Yarrowia lipolytica: one gene and its partner. The protein of the gene in region 1 interacts with the protein of each later gene in a pairwise test. Links are inferred from orthologs where the notes say so. Each region holds a gene or a part of one and is shown on either strand. Other genes may lie near its edges. The genes, in order: YALI1_F35489g and YALI1_F06312g.

Region 1 (3,157 bases):
ATGGGTTTTGTGAGCCTGGTGCGTGCAGTACTGTCCACCGCTTTACGAGTAGTCAAATGAACTTTATCTATTTTTCCAACTAAATGTCTGATAAATACACCAGAAATACTAGATACAATTGCAGTAGTTAACGAGCTACCATAAGTGGACAGCCACAACTTTCATCGTACGGGAACACACAAGAGGCACCCATAACATGGCATATTACAAAGATTTTCTTCTGGCCCACAATATGTTCAATGCTTACCAATACAGTACTAATACAGTACTTGTAGCTACTAAAACTACAATGCGAAACTACTGTATTCACCCTCACAGCTCTGGCCGGTCCACTACTTTTTTTTTTTTTTTTTCTGCATAAACATTCATTTTAATTATAACTTTGCTGTGTGAAAGAATAACCTTTGAAATGAATGTTACGCTTACACGAATAATTACTAATTAAACCACGTTTAGTGTCATGGTTCCAACTTGGGCACGTACCTATTTTCCAGTAAAAAAATCATAAAAAAACCTGGGTTCAGTCCGTGTGTTGTATGTTTGGTCCACATAGCTTCGCCGTGTTTTTGTTTCGTTCATCGGGAAAACGCCCACTCCAGGTCTCCAGTTCTCTTAATCTCAATCCTTCCATTCCCTCTTCGTTTGCATTGCCTTTTGAAAAACGTCTCCCTTGTGGTTCTTCTTTCGTCATTGGTTTGGTTCTGCGTTCCCCTGTGGTGACTACGCGCCCTGCTTACGCTGCTGTTCTCTCGGTGGCCTCGGGCCGCCTTTTACGCTTGCTACTTCTTATTGCCACCCTAACGATTAACCTACAAGTGCAGTATCACTGACTATCATTACCAGGGCTTTTACTGTTCACACCCACACTACAGTTCAGGTTATCCCCTCATATAGCTATACCCCTGACCTGTCAATAAACAACATGACCTATCGTTCCTATTTTAATAATACGTATGTCTTATTTCTATTTACAAAAAAAAAAAAGAATATAAAAAACTTATGCACAAGATGCACGCTTTCTCTCTCTCACACACACACTTGGTACTCCCGTTTGTTCACACTGTGCACGCAGCACAGAAGACACCACCCCACAAATACAGTTCATGTTAGCATCACCACCAAATAAATGCACCGTGACAAACGCCAGCGAATGTCGGACTCAATTCCCAGCCAAAAAGACCGCAAGTACGACCGTCAGCTACGACTATGGGCCGCATCGGGCCAACGTGCACTCGAAGATGCGTCCGTGTGTCTTCTGGGCTCGTCTCCAGTCGCCACGGAAACCATGAAGAACCTGATTCTGCCCAATGTCGGCTCCTACACCGTGGTGGACGGTGGCAATGTGACAGAGGACGATCTGTCGGCCAACTTCTTCTTCGATTCAGATTCAATTGGAAAAAGCAAGGCTCAAAGTGCCAGTCTGTTGCTTAACGAACTCAACAAAGACAGCACAGGCTCATATCTGGACCAGAAGCCCAGCAAAATCGTAGCATCCAACCTCTCCTACTTTGACCAGTTCAGCATTATCGTTGCCTCTGTTTCTTCTTTCGACAAGTACTCGGATCTCGAGGCCCTTTCGGAGTACCTCTACTCACACTACATCCCACTTGTGGTGATCTCTTCGGCGGGATTTTACGGCTACGTGCGAGTGGTAATGAAGGAGCTCCCCATCATTGATACACATCCGGACTCGCTGGTAGATTTGAGATTGGATAGCCCCTGGCCTGAGCTGATGGAGTACGTCAACAACTTCCCAGAGCCCGAAACGGCAGCAGCACGAGATCATGTCCCCATGATTGTTTTATTGCTCAAGACGGCTGATAAGTGGATCAAGGAACATGAGGGAGGTCTTCCCACTAAGCGAGACGAGAAACTGGCATTCAAAAAACAGGTGGAAGCATTACGTCAGGGAGACAGCGAAAACGTGGACGAAGCAGTGGCCGCAGTATGGAGACTGTACCAAAAGAGCAACCAGGTGCCATCACAGATCCGGGACCTTTTTAATTTATCTGCTGAAGACTCTACAGATAGAGATCCGACCTTCTGGACTCTGGTTGAAGCCCTCAAGGACTTTGTGGCTGAGACGGGTACTTTTCCCCTGTCCGGAACCGTCCCCGATTTCAAGGCATACACCAAAGACTACGTTGATATCCAGCGTGTGTATAAGGACAAGGCAAACAAAGACCTGTCCAGGTTCAAGGAGATTGTGGCTACAAAGGTGGTGGAAGTTCCTGAGACTGTGATTGAGGAGTTCAGCAAGAACTCTCGATTCATCCATCTAGCTCGAGGAACGTCTCTAACCCATGACATCAGTCCCGAGAGTCTAGCCCAGATCACTTCTGAGGATGATGATCTTCTGAAACTCTACTACGTCATTCGAGCCAGCCAGATGCTGGGGGGTAAACAGGACGCGTTTTCGATAATGACCAAGACTAACGAGCTGGGAGTTACTGCTGACGTAGTGGAATACTCTCAGGAGGTCGCTCGATACGAGGGCCGAGAGCTTCATAACATTTCTAGTGTTATTGGAGGGGTGGCGTCTCAGGAGATTGTCAAAATTCTGGCTAAGCAATATGTTCCGTTGAACAACACTGTGCTCTTCGACGGCATTGGCAGTAAGATGGAGAAGTGGTTGTTGTAGGTCTGCGACATATAGATTAATTGGATAGGGTGGGGGTATGTGGATCAATCTAGAAATGTACCTCATCAGGAGACCCTGGAATAGTCTGTTTCTACCAGCGACAAGATCAGACAGTTGATCATGGACTCTGCTGTCTCATATCATATTCCCGATACGGGCACCTTTGTATCACTCGAACAACAAAGAACTTGATTACACAGCAGAACGTGTGTATTAAATTTCCCCTCCCCTACCAGTGTAATCAGCAAACTGTGAACTGTGGATATGGCATCCGAGGTGCAGGATCTCACTCTTCAACCCGACCAGTAAAAAGCGGTTGCATTTCAATGGGGTTACGGAGCAGGTTATCGACGGCTTTATTGGACGTTGCACTCAAGGGTCTGCCAGATGGAGCATACCCTCCAAGCCAGCTATCCAAGGTGCGGAAGTACGAAAACTTCGACTCTAAAATTCCGTGCAAGGACGACGACGTGATCGAGATACATTCATTGATTTTGGCAAGCCAAATGGTCCTTC
Region 2 (3,713 bases), about 2.9 Mb from region 1:
CGGTGGGCTTGCCATTATCACCGCGCACTTGGTGCTGCCCATTGGCGACGCTTCCCGGAGAGCCGACTTGATCTTCCGGGCGTTAGTGTGGCCGACATTCTTCGCAGCTCACTCCTCTGAAGCTGCTCTTGTGAGTCTCTGTGCACAGCTCCATGAGGAGGATGCTATCCGCGGCTCGTGTATTCTCCTCATGGACACCATGGATGCGGTCAATGTCTGTCTCGATTGTTTGTTGCAGCCCTGCTAAAAACCTCAGTCTACAATACGCACACACATGTGTCCCACGCGCACGACTGGTTTCTGACTACAAGTGCGTTCACACATTGCTACGGAAGATGATCCTATTAAATAAGTGATGCGGTTGGCGGAGTCAATTGGCGATACAACTGACGTATCGCCACCACCGACGGGGGTAATGCATTTGACGGTTGTATATCACCACTACCGACGACAGCTCGGGCATCTCGCAGAGCACCTCCAGCTCATTTCGTGTTTCGTTCGCACGACAGTACTAATATGCTTTCTCAACACCCATTAAAAAAGTTGAGCGGCTCGCGCTGCTCACCAACTCTTTATTCGACATCCACAACCAACCTTAGGCTAAACGGCAATGCCTCGTCAGTCACCGTCACCTCTTCCTCACCCACCAACTCTCCAACCAGCTTGACGAGATTCCCCCTGGTCATCTCCTCCAGCTCCTTGGGCGACGCCATGTATAGACTCTTGGAGGCCGTTCGCAGCGACGGGTTCTTGACCTTGGTGGCGGGATTCTCCTTGAGGCGCTCGATGAGGTTCTCCAGCGTCGTGCTCTTGGGCACGGCCAGCCGCAGCACCTGCACGCCACACACCGGGCAATCGGGCCGCTTCTGGTGCTGAAATGTGTACGTGTACACGGAGTTGTTGCCCGAGTACATCATGTAGTTGTTGAGGAACGGTACGCACGTGGTGGCGACCTTGAACGCCTCGTTGCAGCTGGAGGCCGCAATGATGGCGTTGGTGGATGCAATGGCCGGAATGATGTTTTTGATCACGCCCTGGGTGAGCTGGTAGGTGACTCCTTCGATGCCAAATTGCTCCGCCCGCGCGCGCGCCTGCTCGAAGATCCACGTCACGTCCTCGACGTCATCGTTGTCGGCCTTGCGGTCAAAGTGTTTAGGCCACTCGAGCACGCTGGCCCATTCGATGCAGTGCTCCGGGAGCCTGGGGGTGTTTGCGATGGTGCACATGGGAAACGTGGTTTGGGGCGTCAGCATGTCCAGCGAGCACTCGTAGCAGGAGGTGATGGTGGGCAGAATGACTCGCGACTGGCCCTTGAAGCCTTCGGTACCACCGTCGATCAGCGGCTTGAGGGTCTCAGGAGAGTCGCCCACCAGCCCCACGAGCGTGGCGTTGATCCAGCGCCGCGCCTCGATGGAGTCCAGGCCGCAGACAACGAGGGTGAACTGCATGTAGAAGTCGTTGTCAAAGTCCTGGATTTTGCCAAAGTGCGGCGTCACGTGCACGCCGGCGACTCGGCGGTTGATGAACTCTGCGGCGACCTCCGACTTTGGCTTGCCCACGTCCGACGGCCGGAACAGGAACTGCCGGTTCAGATTGCTGATGTCGATGGTGTCCATGTCGATCACGTGGATCTTTTTAAACCCAGAGAGGGCGAGGTTTTTGAGAATCTCGCAGCCGAGACCGCCAGCGCCAATCACGAGGATGGACATGTCTGCCAGCGCGGTGATCACGTCCGGCGACGGCGCAAACTCCTCGTCCGAGAACGGGCCGGACGTTGTGAGAACGGGAGAGATGGAGTATGGGCTGTGTTAGCAAGGGAGTCAGGGTACAGACAACGAGGCGAGCAACATAGGTCTGGGAATGGTGCACAACATGCCAAGTCATACGTCGTCACGACTAGCACAGACAATATGATAACGTCATGCCCCACATCGCCACCCCAAGCCGTAACTATGGAAATGACAGAGCACCAGCGATACCATTGTCACGTGACCAGATATATCGCCGTGGACGTGTGTGTATGTGTGTGTGTGTGTGTGTGTGACAATTGCTCGCTGTTTGTGGCACACAATACACTTGGGTCCTGGATCCTGGCTGGCTTCCGGTCTGTCAAAGTCGTGGGGTCGCGGGGCCGCGGAGTCGCGGGAGTTTCTGGACCACGGGACTTGCTGGATCACGTGACCTTGTCATGTCGCACATGTTTGTGTATCATTCGCGGTTACATGACCTCGTCTCAGTGTGTCTTTGCTCATACTCACTTTCTCACGGCAGTCATTGTTGAGAATAAGTTAGGGAGACTGGTCCAGATCTGATCATGCAGCTCATGCATTCTACATGTGGGGTTGTGGGGGATGTGTGTTCGATTCTGGGTTGTGTATTAGGGAATTAAAATATTAGAAAAATGATAAGAAATATAGAAATATAAATATAGAAATATAGAAATATAAATATAGAAAAATAATAAAATAAAAATAGAAATATAAAAATATTAAAAAAATAGAAATATAAAAATATAGAAATATAGAAATATAGAAATAAAATAAAAAATAGAAATAGAAAAAATAGAAATAGAAAAAATAGAAATATAAAAAATAGAAATATAAAAAAAAACAGAAATATAAAAAAAGAGAAATGTAAAAAAATAGAAATATAAAAAAAAAAACAAAAAAAAAGATTGAAAGAAAAAAAGGGTATTGATAGCTTGTAGATACGGACTCGAGGAAAATGTCTATCAGTTTTAGTCACACAAAAATCACGTGACACGCTAATTAAATAGATCTTGTCATCGTTCGTGGTTACATGATTCCTGTTGCACTACCGACTTATCGTGTCGTCCCCATTACCGCCAACATGTGTCGAAAATACGTCCATGTGGTGCCAACTACAAAGGCCACATCCCAATGCCATGCCTCTACAAAGACCCAACAATGTCGCCAATGTCATTTCCCCCGACGCTGGTCATACACAAATAATCAATCACATACATAATCCTTCGCTCGCTACTCTTCCACAGGAGAAGGCTCCACGTTCCAAATTCCCTCGGCATAGTCTCGAATGGCTCGGTCGGAGCTGAAGAAACCCATTCGAGACACGCTGACAATGCTCTTTCGAGCCCACTCCTTGGTGTCCTTAAAGTCGTGGTTGATGGTATGTTGGGCCTCGAGATAGGCGTCAAAGTCGTCAGAAACCAGGTAGTAGTCCCCACCGTACTTGATGGAATGGAGCAATGAGGTGTAGATCTCGGGGTCGCCCAGAGCGCCGGACTGGATGAAATCAAACACCTGCTGCAACTTCTTGCCCACCTGGACTCCGCCATATTTGTGCTTGTGACGAATGTCCTCGACCTCGTCGGCGAGATGACCAAACAGGTAAATGTTGTCTTCACCAATCTCCCGGGTGATTTCGACGTTGGCGCCGTCGACCGTGCCGATGATGAGTCCACCATTGAGCACAAACTTCATGTTGGAGGTGCCGGAGGCCTCGGTACCGGCAGTGGAAATGTGCTCCGAAATGTCTGACGCCGGAATGATAATTTCGGCCTTGGACACGTTGTAGTCCTCGACAAACACCACCTTGAGCGAGTCGAACATGTCGGGGTCATTGTTGACCACCTTGCCCACGTCGTTGATGAGCTTGATGATGGTTTTGGCCATGTAGTAACCGGGCGCGGACTTACCGCCGAAGAGAGAAACTCGGGGAGTCATCTTGCGTCT

What was found.
Region 2: the proteins of YALI1_F35489g (region 1) and YALI1_F06312g interact in binary tests that used the Saccharomyces cerevisiae proteins (3 or more experiments, as listed by UniProt). The link is inferred for Yarrowia lipolytica from reciprocal best matches to the Saccharomyces cerevisiae genes ULA1 and UBA3.

What each region holds. Positions count from the first base shown.
Region 1 is NC_090775.1:3,547,853-3,551,009, forward strand, and holds YALI1_F35489g (uncharacterized protein), read left to right. Parts: upstream 1-1,126; coding exon 1,127-2,641; downstream 2,642-3,157. Other genes in the region: YALI1_F35508g (uncharacterized protein), read left to right, coding at 2,968-3,157. UniProt on the Saccharomyces cerevisiae protein: Regulatory subunit of the dimeric UBA3-ULA1 E1 enzyme.
Region 2 is NC_090775.1:629,473-633,185, forward strand, and holds YALI1_F06312g (uncharacterized protein), read right to left. Parts: upstream 2,330-3,713; coding exon 2,259-2,329; intron 1,804-2,258; coding exon 573-1,803; downstream 1-572. Other genes in the region: YALI1_F06351g (uncharacterized protein), read right to left, coding at 3,000-3,713. UniProt on the Saccharomyces cerevisiae protein: Catalytic subunit of the dimeric UBA3-ULA1 E1 enzyme.